Elephas maximus indicus: one gene and its partner. The protein of the gene in region 1 binds, or shares a complex with, the protein of each later gene. Links are inferred from orthologs where the notes say so. Each region holds a gene or a part of one and is shown in the gene's direction. Other genes may lie near its edges.

Region 1 (11,528 bases):
CAGAACCCACTCCCTGGGGTAGTGCTTGGGACTTATCTCCCCTGGAGCTCATGAAGTGGAGACTTGTACAGAACTGGGATTCTACCAAAAGGAGGAAGGTGAATGAATGACAGCTGGAAAGGCCACCTACCGGCAGTATCACATAAGGATTAAATAGAATGTCTCTGCAGTGGGGATGCATATACAATTATAAATTGTGGCAAATACCAGGACCAGAGAAAGCCATGTATTGTGAGAGAGATAACAGGGAATCATAGTGAGGTCACAGGATCAGACAGGCCACTGAGGAAGTGAAAGATGAGCAGGAACTAGCCAGGCAAAGCTTTGGGGGAAGAGCATTCCAGGTAGAGGTAACAGGCTTTGCTCATTCAAGAACATGAAAGGAGACCAGGGTGGCTAAAATCCTGGGAGGGAGGGGAAGAATAGCACCAAACAAAGGTGAAACAGCAGGCAGGGTCCTTCCCTGCACTATGGGAAGGATTTGGGTTTTATCTTAAGAGCAATGCAAAGGTATAAAAGAACTTAAAACAGGGGCTTGATGTGACCTGACTTGTAGTTTTAAAAAGATTCATCTGGCTGCTGTGTGGAGAACTGATGGAGGGGGTAGGAGATGGTAGGAGGCTGTAACATTAATCCATGAACTGATGGTGGCTTGGCCTGGGTGGCAACAGTAAGGGAAGAGGGAATGGAGAGAATTGAGCATGAATGGCATTGTTAGTGCTCTGGGGAATACAAGAATGGGTCAGTCCCAGGAGTTCTTTTCCAGGTGCTGAGGTCCATTTGAGGGCTAAGACATGCATGTTGTTATTGTTGTTGTTGCTGGGTGCCAGTGTGTCTATTTTGACTCATAATGATCCCATGAGACAGAGTAGAACTGCCTCATAGGGTTTCTTATCCTATAATCTTTACAGAAGCAGATCACCAGATTTTTCTCTCACGGAGCTGCTGGGTAGTTTTGAACTACCAACATTTTGGTTAGCAGCAGAGCTCTTAACCGTTTGTGCCACCAGGACTCCTTAAGACAGCATGCACTTAAGTAATTCTACTTCGGTGGAGACTGTTAAGTGACATGTGGGAGGTGTAGGGAAGGAGTTGAGGAAGTTCAAAAGAAGGCGAAATCACAGGTTTGGGCCTGATTTTAGGCCAGCTTCTAAAGGAAAGTGATGTTTGAGCAAGGCATCAAAGGTTGTGCAAGGTGGGTTTGAAGGGGCAGATGCAGGAAAAAGCAGCCCAGAGAGAGGAACAGCCCAGGTGAAGGCAGGAAATGAAGGCGTATAGAGGGAGAAGAACATAGTAGCATTTGTATGAAGAAGTGGGTTTGTGAAGGGAAGTTCTGGGAAATGAGGTAAGAAAAGTCATGGGGGTCAGATCGAAGAGAATTCTGAGTGTCAGGCTAGGATAATAATATAAACGATAAGACTAAAAACGTTTAAATAATGAGTCCTGGTGTTGCAACGGAGCCCTGATGATGCAGTGGTTAGGAGCTCAGGGTGCTAACCAAAAGGTTGGAAGTTCGAATCCACCAGCTGCTCCTTGGAAACCCTATGGGGCAGTTCTACTCCATCCTGTAGGATCGCTGAGTTGGAATCAACTCAACAGCAACAGGTTTTATTTTTCGGTTTGGTAGTGCAACATTTAAGCGCTCAGCTGCTACCTGAAAGGTTAGAGGTTCAAAATGAGAAACAGATTTAATTCTTCTGAAATCTGGACTTCTGGGATCCATGGAGTTGGGATGACCCACTCAGGCCATTTCTCTAAGACCTTCTTTTGAACTTTGAGCCATGAAGAAACTGCTCTTCTTAAAGTTACCTTTAGGTCAAAATAGCCTAGCTTAATTTGTAAAAAAATACCCACCTTGGGCCTTGTGAAGAATTACCTATGTGAAGTCAGTTTCAAGAAACAGAAACTCCAAGGTCAGACTAGAAGTTATGTTTTAGGATAAATTATTATGGAAACACTGTTCTGGCCCCAATTCCCTGGCACTGTCTGTGAGATGGGTTGTAAGAATCTTTGGTGTTTTCTCATCTTCAGAGTATTTTTGACTCTGTAGTTGAAATGTTTTATTGACTATGCAAAAGCATTCGACTACGTGGATCATAACAAATTGTAGATAATGTTGCAAATGTAAAGGAGAAGTTCATGAAGCCTTTTTGACCAGGACTAAATGATTGAATTAAACTCAGTTTTTGCTGAATTAAACTGGTCTTTTCACATGCCTGCCCAAGACTCTTTATTTGCCTAGCTAACAGTAGAGTCAGCCCAGGCTTTTCACAAGCACCTGCTATTTGGCTCCTTAATTGCTAGCATTCATGAGAACTGTGTGGTTAAGCCAGAATGTAAAAGAAATACATTCTGAGGAAGGGAATCTTGACACAGGTGTCTTTTTGTGCAAAGTGGGCCTAGGAAATGTTTCTTTATAACAAGGATGTAATTAAAAAAAAAAAAAAAAAGTTTTGAAAAGGTCCTGGAACTAGCGTTCTCTAAAGTTTCCCAGGCAACTTAAAAGGGTTTTGTTTGAACAAGTTGTTACTGGGAAATGTGGTGCTGGTACTGAATGGTTATCATGGATCCCCGAAACATCTAGTTATAGCTGCTTAACATCAATCAGTGATGTTCTTATGACCTCCCCTGAAAGATATGTGACTGTGATTGAAAATCTCTGTAATTATTCCCTGAAATCAATTACTATAAGCCTCTGTATCTAATTATCCAATAGGAGCCCATTCCCCACCTCCTAAACCACCCTTCTTGTGACCTCAATCAAAGACTAACCAATCAAATTATTGTGTTATCATTTCTTTATTCCTTGGACTGTATCTCTTCCTGTTAGGAGCTCTCTCACTGGAGTTATCAGTTTTTACTTATGTGACCTGCTGTCTCTCTGCATTTGAATGACCTTTTCTTTTCTTTTTAATAAATAAAGCTTATTTCAAGGAGTGAGTGGTTTTTTCTCTGTAACATGAAGAATGGGAATTCCAGAACACTGAAGTGTCATTTGGAACCTGTATGTAGACCAAGAGGCAGGTGTTTGAACAGAACGAGGGGATACTGCATGGTTTAAAATCAGGAAAGGTGTATATCAGGGTTGTATCCTTTTGCCACATTTACTCAGTTGGTATGCTGAGCAAATAATCTGAGACGCTGGACTATACAAGGAAGAATGAGGCAACAGGATTGGAGGAAGACTCATTAACAACCTGAGATATGCAGATGACACAACCTTTCTTGCTGAAAATGAAGAAGACTGGAAATACTGATGAAGATCAAAGACTACAGCCTTCAGTATGGATTATACTTCAGCATAAAAAAAACAAAAATCCCCACAACTGGACCAATAAGAAACATCGTGACAAACAGAGAAAAGGTTGAAGTTGTCAAGGATTTCATTTTACTTGGAACCAAAATCAATGCCCACAGAAGCAGCAGTTAAGAAATCAAATGACATATTGCAACAGGCAAATCTGCTGCAAAACACCTCTTTTAAGTATTAAAAAGCAAAGATGTCAGTTTGAGCACTGCGGTATGCCTGACCCAAGCCATGGTATTTTCAGTTGCCTCATATGCATGAGAAAACTGGACAATGAATAAGGAAGACGGAAGAAGAATTTATGCCTTTGAATTATGGTGTTGATGAAGAATGTTGAATATGCCATGGGCTGTCAGAAGAATGAACAAATCTGTCTTGGAAAAGGTACAGCCCTAATGCTCCTTAGAATCAAGTGTGGTAAGACTTTGTTTCACAGACTTTGGACATGCTACCAGGAAAGACCAGTACCTGGAGGAGGACATCGTAAAGTAGAGGATCAGCAAAAAAGAGAAAGACCCTCAGCAAGGTGGATTGACAACTGCTACAGCAATGGGTTCAAACGTGGCAACGATTGTGAGTATGGTGTAGGACTTCAGTGTTTCGTTCTGTTTTACGTAGGGTCGCTATGAGTTGGAACAGGGTCACTATGAGTTGGAACCAACTCCACAGCAGCGAACAACAGTTAAAATGTTACTGCAATTTGCAAAGTGTATATTAAATAAACTTCGATCAGTTTCTTTTTTTGGCTTAATATGATTTTTGTTTTAACAGAACCCACCCAGCTGCTCCGAGGGAGAAAGGCCTGATGATTTGCTTCCGTAAAGATTACAGCCTAGAAAACCCTCTGGGGTAGTTCTACTCTGTCACTGGGCTGCTATGAGTCGAAAATCAACTTGCCAGCACCTCACAACAACAGTTTAATGGCAGAATCACTTGTTTTCCCTAGAAATAATTAATGTGCTACTTAAGTTTTGATTATTTACTCACCGATTGGAATAGCAATACCTCTTCCTGGCATTACTGCTACCTAGGTTGTTTGCCAATGGTCTTTAATTTCCTTTGAAATGCATTCCTATGTCATTTATTCAGTATTGACACTGAGGACCCAAGAGTGAAAAGGCATGGTTCCAAATCTCAAGGGGCTTAAGAGGTATGCTAAAGGCAGATGAAGACATAAATTGCAATAAAATTTAATGTGGTATATGTTAGGGAAGAGATGCTATAGAGGAGGGAGAAATTGTTTCTATTCCTTGAGAGTGCAGGGCTAGGTTTGGCATATGTGGTAAATTTTTAACTGGGTCTTTAAGAATGAGAAGGAGTTTGCCAGGCAAAGAAGTGAGGTGGGAAGGCCTTCTAAACAGCGAAAACAGTCTGTGCATGTCTTCTCAATTCTCACACCATCTATCTGACAAGCCCTGTTAAGTGTTCATTTTAAAGTTTTATTTTCAAGCTTTTAGGGGAAGCTTGGTGATAATTGGTGAAATCTTTTGGTTGTACAGAACAAGAGTTGGCATCTGAATATTTGAATGAAGTAAACATGCAGTTTACTTAATAATATCTAATATTTACCAGAATTTAATAAGTCAAATTGGTTATATCCGCTACGCCCAATTTTTCTTCAGGCAGATTTTATTGAATTTTATTTTGCTGAGTCATCAAAGGGAAACCCTGGTGGTGTAGTGGTTAAGTGCTACGGCTGCTAACCAAAAGGTCAGCAGTTTGAATCCACCACGCAGTGCTCCTTGGAAACTCTATGGGGCAATTCTACTCTGTTCTATAGGGTCACTACGAGTTGGAATCAACTTGACAGCAACGGGTTTGGTTTTTTTTGGAGGCATCGAAGAGAGGAATCTTAAATCTGTTTTTTTTTAGGAGACTAGTAAACTCATTAGTCATCAATGTAGACACCGTGTCTCTTCAATTTTTCACAGAAGGACAGAGAAAGTCATAATCCACAGTCCTATGTGACTTCCAGTTTGAGCATTTTCAGAAAACTGGTCCCGTCTGTGCTCCCTAAGTGTTCATGAAAGTTACACTTAGATAGACACCCCCAAGGCCATCCTGTCTCAGAAATGTGTTCACTGCTAATTTTAGCTCAAGATAAAAGCTAATATACCAAGACAGTCCATGAGGTTAAGAGAGAGGAAGAAAACCACCTTAAATGAAGAAACTTATTTAAGACTGGAAAGAACTATTCTTTCATTCAACTCCCTAATTTAACAAAAAACCCAAACCAAACCCACTGCCATCAAGTGACTCTGACTCATAGCAACCCCACAGGACAGAGCAGAACTCCCCCAGAGAGTTTTCCAAGGAGCACCTGGTGGATTTGAACTGCCCGCCTTTTGGTTAACAGCGGTCGCACTTAGACACTATGCCACCAGGTTTTCCCCTCATTTAACAGAGGTATGGAAATTGAGGCTCAGGGAGGGGCAGTGACCTGCCAAGGTCACCCTGGGGCCTTGGCCAGAAGCTGTTGCAGAAGGCAGAGGACAGAAAAGGAGGGGCTGGGTGACAGAGCAGAAGCATTTTGGGGAACTGACCCCTTGCAGGCAGAATCTGATGTACTTCCTCTCTTTGTCTGCACTCTGCCCCGGCTCACCCTCTTTCTATCTCTTTCCCTTACTCTCTCTTGGTAGGGTTATGCGTCAGTAACCAAAAGGTGGGGACATTTCCTGATGCATTTGCAACACTGAGAAGTTGTCTTAAGAGAGACTAGACCGCACTGTGAGCACCAGGCCAGGGAAGTCAACACCTGGGGCAGCTGGGCCGCCCTGCTAGGGGAGACGCTCCTCCTCACCCGCTCCCTGCCCCCCCGCCCCGCCCGGCCTCAGCTGTCCCCTGGCAGTGCTCCCGGCCCCCTGGTTTCCACCTGATCATGTCCCTGGCTGAAGCCATCAGCCTCTGGAATGAAGGCGTGCTGGCAGCTGACAAGAAGGACTGGAAGGGCGCTCTGGAAGCCTTTGCCGCCGTCCAGGATCCCCACTCCAGGATTTGCTTCAACATGGGCTGCGTGCACACGATCCTGGAAAACATGCCGGAGGCGGAGAAGGTGAGCAGAGGGGCCTCTCTCCACCCTGGTCTCCTCTGGGCCTCTGTTTAATTATGGGTCTCAATCCTGTCTGCACTTCAAAAACCTCTGGGGAGCTTTACAAGAACAAAAGATGCCCAGATCCCACCTCCAAAGATTCTGATTTCATTGGTTGGGGTGGGACCTAAACAATCCTAGTTTTTTAAAAGCTCCTGGGGGTACTTCTAAAGGGCCGCAAGCGTTGAGACCCAGTAACCCCAGATTATGCTCTTCTTTCCCTCCACCTATTAAATTCAAGCCAATCTCTAATCGTTCTTTAACACCGTTCTGAAGACTTCTCTTCTTATATTTCCTTCTATGAACTCCTGCTGGACATGGGGTCTCCATCTTACCACTTAGCACCTGATGATAAGGAGCCTGGTAGCTTTCCAAGAGTTTCATGTGTGTCAGCCTTGCCTGCCAGTAAGTAGGTGGCGGGGGAGGGGGGGACGGCACTTATGAAAAACAAGTTTCACCTCAAGTGCCAACTCTGATCGATAATGTGGAGCATTCTTTTAAGGATTCTGAGGCTGGCAGAAGGAAATCATACGGTGATTGATTAATAATGTCTGCCAAGGGCATTGTGTGGATTGTTGTTTAGGTGCCTGTTGAGTCACTTCCGATTCACAGCAAACCTGTGTACAACAGGATGAAACACTGCCCAGTCCTGTGCCATCCTCACAATCGCTGCATTGTCTGAGCCCATTGTTGCAGCCACTGTGCCAATCCATCTCATAGAGGGTCTTCCTCTTTTTTGCTGACCCTCTACTTTACCAAGCATGATGTCCTCCAGGGACTGGTCCCTCCTGAAAACATGTCCAAAGTGAGATGAAGCCTCATCATCCTCATTTTCAAGGAGTATTCTGGCTGTATTTCTTCTGGGACAAACTTATTCATCCGGCAGCCCATTGTATATTCAATATTCTTCGCCAATACCAGAATTCAAAGGCATCAATTCTTCTTTGATCTTCCTTATACATTGTCCAGCTTTCGCATGCATGTGAGGCGACTGAAAATACCATGGCTTGGGTCAGGCGTCCCTTAGTCTTCAAAGGGACATCTTTGCTTTTCAGCACTTTAAAGAGGTCTTTTTCAGTAGATTTGCCCAATGCAGTTTTGTCTTTTGATTTCTTGCCTGCTGCTTCTGTGAGCATTGTTTTTGGATCCAAGTAAAATGAAATCCTTGGCAACCTCAATCTTTTCTGTTTATCTTGATGTTGCTTACTGGTCCAGTTGTGAGGATTTTTGTGTTCTTCCTTTTAAAAATATTTTTATTCCTCAAATCCTTAGTATGGGGTTGAGCATTATCAATAATCACTGTTTGAATTGATCATGGTAAGCTGGAAAGGACATAAGTTTAGAAGCAGAAGATCTAGGATCAAATCCCAGCTCTGCCTCTCTCCGTACCTTTGGTCTTAGGCATTATGCTTTTGATGCGAGAATTAGTGAGCCCAGCCAGCCAGCTGAGTCCAACTCATGGCAGCCTCATGTGTGTCGGAACGGAACTGTGCTCTTTAGGGTTTTTGGTGGCTGATGTTTTGGAAGTAGATCACCAGGCTTTCATCTGAGGAGCCTCTGTGTGAACGTGAACCTTCAAACTTTTAGTTAGCAGCCAAATGTGTTTATTGTCTGTACTGCAAGGCACCAACTGTGTAACTTCACACCGCTGTATAAATGTTAGTTATTATTTTTACTTTTCACTGATGGTCTTTGCAAGGCAGTGTGGACAGATGCATGGCTCCCAGTTCTTCCCACCATCATCCTTACAGTTGACAGAAGGTGAACAACCCTCAGCCATATTCCAGGCAACAGGAAGAGAGAGAAGTAGCTGAAATGCCCTCTCAGCCTGACGAGTAGAACACAGGCTCCAGAGTCAGCACACATGCCAGAAGGAACAGGAGAGGGCTCCCACCTCTGGCTGGAGGGAGGATGGCAGCCCCATTCTATCATTGGCCTGCTGAGCGGTTGGGCAAACGGCACACAGGCTCTGAGGGTGATAAAGACAAAGGGCGCATTGTCAGGGAGAAGGGATGGGAAAGGGCAGCAGCTGGTCTGGGAGCAGCTGTGCCGGCTGTGACTGTGTGCTCCCTGGTTTCGGGGGTCCTTGGAAGGTTGTGCAGGCCACCACTCACCTCTCAGCTCACCCGCTCGCACACCTTCTCACTCTCTGGTCAGACTCCTCCTTGTCTCTTCTGCTTCTGGTCTTCTCATTCTGTATGTCTTTGTTTTCCTGCTCGAGCCCTTACTACTAGCATTTCCTATGCATTTTCTCTTATTTTAATCTTGTCAATAACTTTGAGAAGCAGATGTTAATATCCCCATTTTACAAAACAGAAAACAAACGTTCAAGGAGATTGGGTAATTTACTGCGTGCCAGGCAACGAGGAAGTAATGAAGCAGGACATTCTGACCCAGTCTGTCTAATCCCTAAACCCTATCACCTTCAAGACATCAGCCATTCTCATGACCCCCTTGAGCCATACTCTGGGTCATCTCACAGCTCCTCACTGCTTTGTATGGACTCTTCTCTCCACAGGCCTTTACCCAAAGCATCAACAGAGACAAGCACTTGGCAGTGGCTTACTTCCAACGAGGAATGCTCTACTACCGGACAGAGAAGTAAGTGGTGCAGTATTGCACAATGCTGGGGAAGTTTACAGAGAAACCCTGAGGGATCCCAGGGCTGCAAGACTGGGTGTTTGAGAGGGATCTTCCCAGTCTCTGTCAGGAAGCCTGGCTAGACCTTTTCTGGGCAGTTATGCAATAAGTCAGCACGAGGCAGAAGCTCCTACTGGTGAAGGAGGGCAGTCCTCTCACCCTGATCTTAAGTCTGCTGTCTCATAGCTCAGAGTATGCGGGTGGTGCAAAAGGTCAAGGCACTCGGCTGCTAACCAAAAGGTTGGAAGTTCAAGTCTATCCAGGGGCACCTCAGAAGAAAGGCCTGGAGATCTATTTCCAAAAGATCCCAGCCATTGAAAACTCTATGGAGCACAGTTCTACTGTGAAGCACACGGGGCCACCATGAACTGAAATCAGCTCCATGGGACCTGGTTATTGGTGTGATAGCTCACAATTAGCCTACGTAACCACCATAGGCCTGATATTCAGCTGGCCTGACCCGTCTACCAGCATCCCTCTGATGTGTCACCGCCTGGGCAGTCCTGGCTGTAAATGTTTTGGCCATCACGAGTGTGCTACTATGAGGTACTGAGCTGTGACAGAATGAGGATTACCATGAAGCCACATTAAAACCTTCCTAACATTGTGAGTATAATTGATGCCACTGAACTGTACACATAAAAATAGTTAAAATGAAAAAGGTAATGTTTTATATATTTCACTACAATAAAAAGAGCAAAGTCACATGACAAGAAACATACTGCAGAAAAGTAAAAACAAAACGAAAATACCTTGCTGAATTCCAGCAAAATCTGTTTTCAAAATCCATTTAATGAAATATAATTTGGCCACAAAAATGAGAATATAAACTATTTATATTATATGTATGTGAATATATTAAAACAGGTAAATAGCATATATATTGATACAGAAAAGAGTTCAAACTCACAAAAAAAGAGCAGACCTACTGGTCTGATGGAGACTGGAGAAACCCTGATAGTACGACCACTGGATAGCCTTATAGCTCAGTAATGAAGTCATTCCTGAGGTTCACCCTTCAGACAAAGAGTAGACAGGCCCATAATCAAACAATAATACACGTAGCTCAACCATGTATACGAGATGTTCAGTTTAAAACAGATTTTAAAACAGTACCTAGGATCGCTATGAGTTGGAATTGACTCGATGGCACACAATGACATACCATAATTCCATTTATGTTTCACAGAGAGAAGTCTGGAAGGCCATGGGCCAAAATGTTATCAGTAGGTGTTGGGATTGTAGGGATTTCTGTTTTCTTTTCTCGGTTTATCTGTATTTTTTTTAAGTGTTTGCTGTCAACATGAATTAATTATAAAGACGTAAATGCATTCAAAATGGAAGTAAATTGCAATTCCTTTCCCCCAAAAAACACCCCAATAATAAATACACAAACAATAAATTAAAAATATTCTTTTTTTTTTATTGTGCTTTAGATGAAGGTTTACAGAGCAAATTAGTTTCTCATTAAGCAATTAATACACATATTGCTTTGTGACATTGGTTGCCAACCCTGGGGCGTGTCAACACTCTCCCCTTCTTGACTTTGAGCTCCCCATTTCGGTTTGTCCAGCTTTCCTGTCCCCTGCTGCCTTCTTGTCCTCACCCCTGGGCTGGTGTGCCCACTTAGTCTCGTATACATGGTTGAGCTATGTGTATTATTGTTTGATTATGGGCCTGTCTACTCTTTGTCTGATTATGGGCCTGTCTACTCTTGTCTGAAGGGTGAACCTCAGGAATGACTTCATTACTGAGCTATAAGGATATCCGGAGGTTGTACTATCAGGGTTTCTCCAGTCTCCATCAGACCAGTAGGTCTGGTCTTTTTTTGTGAGTTTGAATTTCGTTCTACATTTTTCTCCCGCTGTGTCTGGGACCCTCTATTGTAATCCCTGTCAGAGCAGTCACTGGTAGTAGCTGGGCACCATCTAGTTGTGAGGGACTCAGTCTGGTGGAAGCTGTAGTTGTGGTCCATTAGTCCTTTGGACTAATCTGTCCCTTGTATTTTGAATTTTCTTCATTCTCCCTTGCTCCAGATGGCTTGGGACAATGGAGTAGCTTAGATGGCAGCTCACAAGCTTTTAAGACCCCAGATGCCACTCACCACAGTCGGATGTAGAACATTTTCTTTATAAACTATGTTATACCAATTGAGCTAGATATCCCCAGAGACCATGGTCCCCAGCCCTCAACCCAGTAATTCAGTCCCTCAGGGGGTTTGGATGTGTCTCTGAAGCTTCTATGGCCTTGCTTTGGTCACGTTATGCCGACTTCCCCAGTATTGTGTACTGTCTTACCCTTCATCAAAGTTAACACTTATCTATTGTCTAGTTAGTGTTTTTTCCCTCCCCACCCCTCTCCTCCCTTATAATCATCAAAGATTGTTTCTTTCTGCGTGTAAACCTTTTCATGAGTTTTTATAATAGTGGTCTCGTACAGTATTTGTCCTTTTGTGATTGACGTATTTCACTCAGCATAATGCCCTCCAAATTC
Region 2 (11,234 bases), on another chromosome or scaffold:
AAGATATGAATAACAATTTATGGAAGAGGAAACACAAATCTACAGCAAACACTTGCAAGAATGCTTGACATTACTAGAAATCAATTCGTGTCAATTAAAACCACAATGAGATGCCAATTCACAGCCATAAGATTAGCAAAAATTATAAAACCTCACAAGGCCAAGTGTGGGCCAAGGTGTGGAGTAGCAGGGACTCCTAATCGTGCTGGAGATGCAGGTTCAGATTGCCCAATAAGCAAGGTAAGCACAGGCTTACTTAAGCTTACTTCCTAATCTGTAGTGAACAATTTCACATAGGTTTTTTTGATCAGTAAGCAAGCACAAGTAAGCCCGTGCTTACCTTGCTCACACGGTAATTCATCCCTGTCAGAGACTGTAAATTTGAAAAGAGGCTTTGATTCTGTAGGAAGGTGGTGTGGGCTTGGGAGACAGACAGACACCAGCTATACGTAGAAGCAGAATCTTTGGTGCGGTGAAAAAATGTGAAATTGTTCACTACAGATGATCTGGTAAGCAAGGTAAGCACAGTGCTTACCTTGCCGATTGGATAATATGTCCCTGTGAGATGCAATCACTTTGGTTTGGTATTGAGGCGAAGGGGACAGTGATGGTTCAGCAGTGGCATTCCTGCCTTCCATGTGAGAGACCTAGGTTCAATTCCCAGCCAGTGCACCTCATGGGCGGCCACCAACCATCTGTCAGTGGAGGCTTTCCTGTTGCTGTGATGCTGAATAGGGTTCAGTAGAGCTTCCAGTGGGTCTGAGGAGGACTAACTATGTAGCAATGTTCATATTTTTGTCTGGGTGGTGAGTACCCTGGTGTTCGGTGTATTATCTTTTATACCTGTTGGGACATTTTAAATACTAAATAACACTTTTTTTTTAAGGACATAGGTGACACAACACAGTGTTATCCCTGCTGTGATGGAGAAGTTCAGGGACTGTGGGAGCTTAAAAAAGGCATCTACTCCAGCCTGGGATTCTGGGAGGCCTTCCTGGAGGAGGTGACATCTGATCTAAGACTTGAAGAGCAAGCAAGAGTTTATCAGTCTCAGGAAGGGATGGGTGGGAGAGAGAGGAAAGGCATTTTCAATGGGCATTGTGGGCAAAATATGAGGGAGAACATGGAGCATTTGAGAAACGTGAGTTATTGGAAGTCTGTAGGGCAAGGGATGAGGATAACGGAGGAGCTTCAGGAGGAGGAAGGTGAAGATGTTAGGCGAAGGGGGAGGGCTTCTGGAAGAAGCTGCAACCCAAGGGCAAAGACTGACGGTGGGGCTTCCAGCCCAAAGCAAGAGGGACATGATGTGAAGGAGAGAAACCCCTGCCTGGTTCACCTGTCCTGTGTATTCCCACCTTGCCACCTTTGGGTCCATGAGTCCTCCTGCCCAGCCCCCTCTCAGGGACAACAAGGAGGCTGAGGACCTGCTAGCTTGCTGAGTGGGAGCTGGGACACACACAGATGGGACAAGCTGGCCGGGGCTGGGGATCAGTACCCAGCAGATGGGCACATGGAAGCAGGCAGTGGTATGCTGAAGACCTTCCATCGGCTCATGAGAGTCTATTGCTAAATTATCAGGAATTTCATGAGCTGGTTGTTAAATGTAATCATTATTAAAAACCAAATTCTAAACTTACAATTAAATACATTATGGGTCGTCTGCGACTTACGGCATATTCGAATTATGACATCAGTGTGTCTGGAACACTGCAGCTTCCTGGGAGGAAGTTATGGGAACATGCATTCAGGGGTTTGGAAAAATTGCCAAGTTAGGCAAACACACCTCAAGCATTCGATTAGGATAATATGATGGAGGAGATGAGTGGAAAAATCGTCCCTATGGCGAGAACGCTGAATTTAGAACTTGATATCATCAATGTGGAACAGCTCATAGATCAGGAAGAAGGGGAACTGACAGACCAGGACTTAATGGATTTTGAAGAGGAAGGAAATGCTGCAGAAGAAAGAAACGAAGAAGAAGAGGGAGAGAAGTTGTCAAAAAATTCCACAGGGAAAGGACCAGCTGGAGTCTTTTCTAAACTAAATCAGGAGCTTCAGTTGCTTGAAAACATGGACCCAGACACTGATTGCATCGCTGAAGTTGACAGGCAGATTTGGGAAGCAGTGAGATGTTACCACGAAATATACGAATTAAAAAAGAAAAGGATCATACAGATAACTTTCACTAATTTTCTGAGTAGAAACTCCATCCCATTCCCAGGGATAACCCAGATGATCCGGAACCTTCCACAGGCGGAGTTATTACCACAACTGACAAAATGCCAACGTTGTCCAACTCTTCATCGTTGGAGTAAATTTTTATGATTTGTGTATTTTTTTATGTATCTATGTATTAAATTACATTTTATGATTTTATATGTTTTTATGATTTTATATATATTTTTATGATTTGTGTATTTTTATGTATCTATTTATTAAATTAAATTAAAAAATTTTTGGATGTATTAAAATATATCTGTAAGTTTATATGGAATGTTTCCAGCCCCCAAAGACAAATCAAGATCGAATTTATAAAGATACTGATCATAAAAGGCAATAATAATGAAAAGAAAAAAAAAGAGCCTTTTGACTTTCATCAGAACCGACTTACAGCAGAATCGTGGGAATGGAACCACGTAGTAAGCTGAGGGCTACCTGTATATTAAAAACAAAGGCAAAAAAAAATACTCAAAATTTACTTATTCCACTACATTTTAGTATTATCTGTACTTTTGAGGTTATTTACATCTATTGCATCTATACGGTAGAAATACCATATCTAGGGCGCTACTGTGGCTCCTTTCCTACTCCGCAACCGGGGACCTCACGTTGGCAGCTTGACATCAGCCATTTCTGGTTGGGAGCATTTACATGTCAGAAATGGACAAATGGCATGAATCGGGACTTAATGTACTATTTTCTTAATTGTCTAGTCTTAATGTGATGGAGAAAATGTTAATAATACATATTAAACTTAAAGGTATGTCATGTCTATAAACAAACAACTACAAAAAAAAACAAACCCGCTACCATCAAGTTGATTGTGACTCATATGACCCTATAGGACAGGGTAGAATGACCCCATAGGATTTCCAAGGCTGTAATCTTTACAGAAGGAGACTTCCACATCTTTCTCCCGTGGAGCAGCTGGTGGATTTCAACCACTGACCTTTTGCTTAGCAGCAAATTGCTTAAACCGCTGGGCCACCAGGGCTCCTTTCAATATTGTGCCGAGCACAAAATATTGAGGAAATATTTCTCCTGCGTTCAAAAACTATCCCTTAATTCAGCACAGCAGTCACTCCCATTATCAACAAACAAGTGAAGTTTTTATGTAAGCCTTCCTTGTTTCACTTTCTTCTTACGTGTTAGCATAAGCCAAAATACCAGCCAATATTCCTGTTGTAATGACAACTCATTTGTCAATTGCAACTTTAGGTTGCACACAAGAGTTCAGCAAGAATCAATGAAAGCATTCCGTGAGAATCAGTTCCCTGTATGTGGAATTTACAGTGAGGAGCACTGTGTATTTTATTGTTGGTAATTGACTATTATATATCCTTTATATCAGTAAAATTTATATTGTACTTCTGCATGTATATATGACAATACCTTTTTTTTTTTTTTCAGAGAGTGGATCGTTAAGCATTTGCCAGCACCTCATTGCGGGGTGGAGATTGTGGCTCCGAAATCCAAAGGCCTGTGGTGGGGAGGAGGGAGCAGACCGGCCCTGAGAAGCCCTGTCCAGGGAGGTGGGCTTGGGCTGAAAATGAGGAAGGGCTTTCTGACAGGCTAGGCTGGCCAAGGGTGGAAGGGGTTGCCCCCTAAGGGAATGAGCTCCCCATCATAGGAGGTATGTGAACAGAGGCTAGACAGCAGCTTCCAGTGCACGAACTTGTTATCTGATTGGGGTCCGTGCCCTGGAGCAGTTGAGCCAATGAAAAGTACTCCAAATCAGAAAGAGAGAGAAAGTTTATTAGGAGGTGACGCCAACAGGCAGTCCACCAGCGGCGCTGGCTGTTTTCATGGAGTCTTGAAAAGCAATTTCTACATCAGAGCTTATATATCATTTTTGCAAGGATTACTGCGTCTTCACATATGCCTGCAGATGGTCGGATGAGTATATATCCCATAACAACTACAAGAAAGTTTTAAACTAAAGATATGCATGCTGGCCATCTGGACTCTAATCTTTATGTTTGTAACAGGCAAAAAAAAAAAAAAAAAAACTTATATAAAAATCTCTCGGCTAGTAGAGCTGGCCTGCCAAGTTTACTCTGACCGAGATAAAGAGCAAGCAAGAAAGCTGCAGACCAAAAGTACCAGGCAGCCTTCCTAGCTGTCACCTTGCAGGCTGAAGGCCATCTCCAAAGAGAACAAAGAAAAGGAGGGAGATCAAGGCTTCAAGAGCTGAGAAGGCCCCGCAGCCCATTGGAAAGAGACCAGCTTAGCTGGTATAATAAAAAAGAACATTGAGAGTGTACAAAATGCCAGCAAAAAAAAATTTGTGGGTTACTTAGAGTATCGCTATGGCGTTAGTTACGCCAAGCCCTCTATCGCCCATTTTGAAAAGGAGAAAACATGTTGCGAGGTATTAGGGTCAAAAACTGAAGCATTTGTTGCTGGTGGGGCAAGAGCGGAGGCACCTCTGCAACAAGGGCATTGGACAAGGAGATCCAAACTCACTCCCAATGTGGTGTGGGGGATGCCTGGCCTTCCTCATCCCAAGCTGGGCCCCATGAAATGCTTCCCCCGTCTCATCTCAGTTTATGCAAAGCACAGAAGGAAAGATATCAAAGTTTGTTGGCTGGTTTAATGATCGACTGGTCAAATGATCGACTGGTCAAGTACTGGAGCAGGCCCTTGGGGAAGTTGTATTTCCCTTCCTGCAAAAGTCATTTTGGCAAACCCTGTAGTTTGCGTGCATAGCCCTGGAAAGGCTGGGCCTGCTGTAGCCCCTGGGCACAGTCTTGGAAAGGCTGGGCATGAAGGCAGAATTGACCTGACACTGACCCTTTCCCAGGAGGCCCAGGTGAGTCTCCAGGTGCCTGTGTGAAAGGAGGTGGCTGTGGGGATCCCAGCTCTACCCTCTCCCAGTGCAGGAAGCGAGAGGGGTACCTGGCTGGCCACTTGTCCTGAGTGACCAGTCCAGGGTAGGGGACCAGTGGCTCTGCTCAGCCCCTCTCCTGTCCTTTCCCCCTGGAGCTGGGAAGGCACTGGGGGTGGAGAGAGATGGCAGTAAACAGTGACAGCTAGATGAATTTGGATCCGACTGGAGAGACCAGTGTTGCTCCTGCGGCTACCCAGAGACCCTCCCCAGAGCTGCAGAACTCAGGCCGTGTCTTCACAAATAGCAGCTGGGTGCCAGAAGAGCTCAGAGTCACCTGGCCCTGGGTTTGATTTCAGGCTGGCTGATTCTGGTGAGTCTCCTGACTTCTGGAACTCTCAGTTTCTGCACCTGTAAAATGGGGCCACGGTGCTTGGTTCCCGGGTGTCTGGCTGTGAGGCTGAAAGCAGCGATTGCAGCCTCCCAGGACAGGGCCTGACTCGTGGGGGGCACTGCTTGGCACTGCCCTTGCATTACCCCTTCCTGCCTCATCACCTGCACCCCATACTGCCCATCCTTCCACACTCAGGTGTTCCCACACAGGCCCATGCTTTGCGGGGGGCCGGGGGTTAGCTCTGCGCCTCTGATCATGCACCGCACCCCCCAGAGCCTCTCCAACACCACCTTCCAAGTGCCAGCTCCAATGCCACCTGCCAGCCTCCAGCTGTCTTTTCCTGTGCCTCTGAGATCCCCTCTCTGTGGATCCCCTGGGGCCCCATCACTTCCTGCCTTGCTTTACAGCCACCCCCGAGGAGGTCTTATGTTCCCCTTTATAAAGAATGTGAACTCCAGGAACCAGCTATGTCTTTTGCACCCCGGAATCACCCGGCACTGTGCCTGGCACACAGTAGGTGCTCAATAAATGCTTATTGTTTAGAGTTGAGATGGACTGAGTTCTTGGAAGCCTCAAGTTCTTGTAGAGCAATCTCTGGCTCTGCTCCATGACAGGACGCATGTCTCCCAGCCGAGAGTCCTATGTCCCCGCTGGTGCCCAGTGCAGGGGTGGCCATGGGGCACCCGGCCCGGCCCAGCACCTAAGAGGCGTGAGCTGTTCTGCCAGACCACATGCTCCGCCTTCTGCAAACGGCCATGGGGGAGCAGATTGGGTAAGTTCCCCTTCCGCTTCCTCTACCTCGTTCCCGCTGCTGCTGTCCCCGGCCGGTGCCTCGCAGGCTCTCCACACCCCTGGTGCCCACAGAGACGGTCCGCGCCTTGAGCTGTCACCACTGCTGCCCCCCAGGCCCCTGACACCATGCAAGCCATCAAGTGTGTGGTGGTGGGAGACGGGTAGGTACCTGTCAGAACTTCCTCACTGCCCCTACCAGGATACCCTGAGACCCTCCTGCTGATGTCCCTTGGGAAGCCCCCTGCCCGCAGGTGTAGGAGCCCCTGGGAGGCAGCTGGGAGGAGCTTCTTCGTCCAGGTTCCAGAGGGAGCAACTGGGGTGGGCTGCAGAAAGCTTCATTCTCTGGTCCATTCCACCCCGGAAGCTGCCTGGGTTGAGGGTATGGGACGGTGGATGACGGGCCTGGGACTCCTGACCCGCATCCTGAGTGCTGGTGGCAGGTCCTCCATGGGGGTGTCTTGGCTTTCAACTTTGTGGGTGCAGGTGGTGGTGGGGAACCAAAAATTTGGGCTCTAATCACTGGCTTGGTCCTGCTGTGTGGCTTTGGGCAAGTCACAGAGCCTCTCTGAACCTCAGTTTAGCTACTGGGAAGAAGCCATAATAGTTCATGCCCCCCGGGGCTGATTTAGAATCTCTTGGGATATTTTGAGTGGCTGCCTTGCTCTTGGAAACCCTGGTGGCATAGTGGTTAAGTGCTATGGCTGCTAACTGCCAGGCGTTCCTTGGAAACTCCATGGGGCAGTTCTACTCTGTCCTATAGGGTCGTTATGAGTTGGAATGACTCGACGGCACTGGGCTGGGCCTTGATCTTAGAGTCTGCTCAAAAATGTTGGCCTCCAAACCCTTCCTGCCCCACCTCCTCCTCCCTCCCCCGCTTGGAGAGGCTGGCAGCCGCCCTTTCAACCTGCCTGGTCAGGAAGGTTGTGTAGGGTACGTGGGTGAGGATGAGAAGGGGGAGGGGGACATTGCACCCTGAGAGATGAAACTAGGCAAGAAGGAGTGAAGATGAGATAGAAGGCGATTGAGGGGAGGGACATGGGGCGGGGGGGCTGGGCTGAGGTCCTTCACAGCTGTCAAACTCTCAGTGACCTCAGGTTTTCAGGCCCCCTTTCTGGTCTTCAGTTTCCTCATCTGTAAATCCATCTCTCATGCCAGCTACCACAACGCCTTAGGGTCCAGCCCACAGGTACATTCTGGGGTTTTCCATAAGTCCATCTGGTATGTTCTAGGTGGGCAGGGCCCTCTTGTCCAACTCTCCCATCCTACAGAGGGACAACTCGAGGCTTGGAGAGACGCGCTGTTTCCTAGCCTGGGTCCGGTGGCGCTGACTTTGGCTGGACACATCCTGGTGGGGGCGGGCAGGTTATCAGGCAGCCCTCAGCTGATTCTGATACGTGGTCATCATCTGCCCACTGCCCACCCCTGATCACTTCTGCTTTGTATCTAATCTGAGCACTGGAGGGCGGAAGTCAAGGGCAACGTCCCAGTCATTCAAAGTTACCTTGGTGGCAGGGCCAAGGAGGGCGGCAGTGGGGAAAGAGGGCATGCAGACTCCTCAGAACAGGAAGTGACGAAGCAGAGTGGGGAAGGCCCGAGGCTGCCCCTTTGGCCTCTTGGCTTCCCGCAGCGCTGCCTGGGCCCCACTCCCACACCAGCAGCCCGAGGGTGGAGACGGCATGAACAATGGCCATCACTGTTTATTTAGCACTTGCTGTGTACCAAGCATTGAGCTGGACACGCCTCCTCTGTTTTTCCTCCCACCGACCCTAGAATCAGGCCCATTTTACAGGTGGGAAAACTGAAGCTCCAGGAAGCTAAGTAATTTGCCCCAGACCTCATGGGATTTGAACCCAGGTCTCTATGACTCCAAAACCCGGTGCTCTTAACTGCTATGCTTCATGGAGAGGTGGGAGGAAAAGAGGAGGGAAGGGAGTGCCAGGTACCAAAAAACCAGACCTGCTGCCATCGGGCCACTGCCAGCTCACGGCCACCCCATGTCCTCAGAGTAGGACTGCTCCACGGCACGCTAAGTGCTTTAACATGCATCATCTAATTTAATTCACGGCACACTCCTAAGAGGATGGACTTGCGTTATTTTCTAGATGGGGAAACTGAGGCATCAGGTTATGTGATTTGCCCAAGGCCATGCCACTGGCAAGTGGTGGAGCTGGTGGGCGCTTGGACCCCAGAAGTGTGATGACAGGGCAGGTTTCCTGGCACCCCCTGCCCTTAACCCTCAGTCCCACACCACTACCTGAGAAAGCTGGTTAAAAATGCAGATTCTCAGTCCTGCCCCACGCCTATGGGTTAGAATCTCTGGGGTAGGACCTCAGTCTGCACTTTAAGAAACACCCCAGATGCCTCTCATGGGCTCTTGGGTTTGAGAGACAAAGGGAGTTTCAGATGGGGAGACTGTGGGCTAGACTGGACAGCGATTTGCTCCCCACCCCCAGGGTTGGGCCTGGTTAGACACTGAGGTCTTCCCTCAGGGGTGGGATGGGTGACCCAGCAGCCTCAGAAATCTCCCCGTATCTGGGGCCCATGACTGCTGTCTCCTGTGCTTCCTGTCTTTCAGAGCCGTGGGCAAGACCTGCCTTCTCATCAGCTACACCACCAACGCCTTCCCGGGAGAGTACATCCCCACTGTGTGAGTGCCCTGGGGCCGGAGGGGCCAGCTGGGAGGGCGCATGGGCGGCCCCTTTCCAGGCAACTTCCTGTGCGCCATGCTCCATCTGGGCACTTGGGGATGGGAGAATTCAGTGATGCCGAGCGAGCCCTAGTCCCTGCTCCCGTGGTGGAGGAGGGCTGTGAGCTGGGCGGGCTGAGTGCCGTGAGCTCCTGCGCAGGGCCAAGAGAGACTTCCTAAGGGTGGGGTGAAGGGGGTGGTGGGGAAAGGCAGGAGGTGGCCTTTCAGTGGGGCCTCAGAGACCATAGACCTGGGAGGAGAGCACTGGCCTTGCAAGGGCAAGGAGGGGAAAGCTGGTCTGAGTTGGAGAAATGTAAGAAGGGGTGGAGGGAGGAGGAGGTAGCCAAGAAAGCCTTGAAATCAAGATGCTAAGACCCCAATGGGGGCAGCACTGTGCTGTCCAGAGGCCAGCCTGGGCCCTGCCCTCTGGGGGATGCAGAGGCGGGGCTTCCATTTTACCCAGGTGTAGGAGTCAGACGTGGAGGGGAGGGATGAGCCAGGAAGCACCAGCTTCTCACTCACAAGCCCTCAGTGGCACCTGTCACTCACAGGACAACTTCCCAATTCCATCGCGTGGCATTCAAGGTCCTTTCTGGCCTTCTCTCAACCTTCCCTTCTAGCTTCCTCGCCCATTATTTTGCTGCACCTTCTGCTTCCGAACCCTCCTGTTTACCAAACACTTCCTGGGCATTTCTACCTCAGGGCCTTTTCTCAAGCTATTCCCTCTGCCTGGAGTGCTTTTCTTTCCCATGTCAACGTGTTGAGGGCCTCCAAGCCCAGCTCAAATATTCCTCCTCCAGGAAGCCTTTCCAATCTAGTCTGAAGGGGTCTCTCACTCCCCAGAGTCCTGCAGAATTTATCTGATCTCTCCTGTGACTGCAAACCTGTGGAGATGCCCTCCACATTCAGTCCATTTTGAGTCCCCCCCGCATTGCCTTGGCACAAGGACTGACACACAACAGGCACTCAATATATGTGCTTTGCGTTGACCCGCCTTGAACTTCATGGGAGAGGCCCCAGGAGGATTGATTAGAGCTATCACCTGTTGCCAGCCTACCGTGTGCCAGGCCCTGCACGAGATACTGCCCATGTGTGATCTCTTTGTGGGTATCATTACCCCCAGGACACCCACGACGAAGCTGAGGCACACAGAGGCTAAAAGGCTTGCTCCCCAGAGCCACCCAGGCCTGTCTGGCTACTGCAGGGCCTTGCTGGGGCCTTCATTTCTTGATCTTAATGCTGTGTTATGTTAGTTGCTGCTGTCATGTCACCTCCAACTCATGGCAACCTCAAGTACAACAGAATGAAATGTTGCCCTGTCCTGTGCCATCTTCATGATTGTTGGTATGCTCAAGTCTGTTTTTGCAGCCACTCTGTATTTTGAATGCCTTCCAACCTAGGGGGCTCATCTTCCAGCATTATACTGAACAATATTCTGTGATGATCCATAGGGTTTTCATTGGCTAATTTTGGGAAACAGATTGCCAGGTCTTTCTGCCTAGTCTTTCTTAGTCCGGAAGCTCTACTGAAACCTGTCACCATGGATGACACTGCTGGTGTTTGAAATACTGGTGGCATAGCTTCCAGCATCATAGCAACATGCCAGCCACCACAGTACAACAAACTGACAGATGGGTGGTGGTCTTGATCTTAAAGGGGCTCCCTTTCAGGAGCAGGGAGGGGGTCAGGCTGTCCTGGGAAGGAGCGGGAGAGACAGGCCAATTTGCCTCTGCCCCAGCCCATGGCATTAGAGGAATCCCCATTACCAGGGGCTCTGCCCCTAGTACTGCTCACAGACTCTACCCCCAGCCCAACAGCCCTGACCCTCTGGCCCCTGGACTGGGCTCCCTCTACAGACAGCCCTCCCTGGGACACTGCCCCAGGCCCTAGCTGCCTCAGGCACCCTGGCCTGAGCAGGAGGAGGTAGGCAGCCAAGGGAGGGCAGAAAGTTGTGTCAGGGTGCCTGGAAAACTGACTCCCATCCCAGCTCAGTCCCCAATTCCCCAAATAGCCTCTCTGCACCTGCCTTTATCTGCAAAATAGGGATGAGGGTCTCTGCCCCTTCACCACCAGTCATCACACGCTGACCAGGGACTTCCTCATGCTCAGCCGTCAGGAACCATCAGGGTTTGGAGAGGGCTGGCTGTCAACCTGGCAGCGAAGCAGGTGTGGAGTCGGGGATGGCAACTCCCGTAGAAGGCCACTGTCCCCAAGAGGAGTGTGTTGTTACTCCTGTGTTCCTGGTCTCAGGATGCCGGCTGGTGACCCTGTCCTGTCTTACCTGTCAGGCTGGGCTGGAGGATCCACTGGCTGGA

What was found.
Region 2: NCF2 (region 1) and RAC2 share a complex: the UniProt entries of both Homo sapiens proteins name them as parts of the phagocyte NADPH oxidase complex. The link is inferred for Elephas maximus indicus from reciprocal best matches to the Homo sapiens genes NCF2 and RAC2.

Annotation. Positions count from the first base shown.
Region 1 is NC_064842.1:47,061,568-47,073,095, reverse strand, and holds the start of NCF2 (neutrophil cytosol factor 2), read left to right. Parts: upstream 1-5,933; 5' UTR 5,934-6,185; coding exon 6,186-6,359; intron 6,360-8,913; coding exon 8,914-8,996; intron 8,997-11,528. UniProt on the Homo sapiens protein: Subunit of the phagocyte NADPH oxidase complex that mediates the transfer of electrons from cytosolic NADPH to O2 to produce the superoxide anion (O2(-)).
Region 2 is NC_064822.1:181,091,623-181,102,856, reverse strand, and holds the start of RAC2 (ras-related C3 botulinum toxin substrate 2), read left to right. Parts: upstream 1-6,222; 5' UTR 6,223-6,359; coding exon 6,360-6,394; intron 6,395-8,808; coding exon 8,809-8,880; intron 8,881-11,234. UniProt on the Homo sapiens protein: Plasma membrane-associated small GTPase which cycles between an active GTP-bound and inactive GDP-bound state.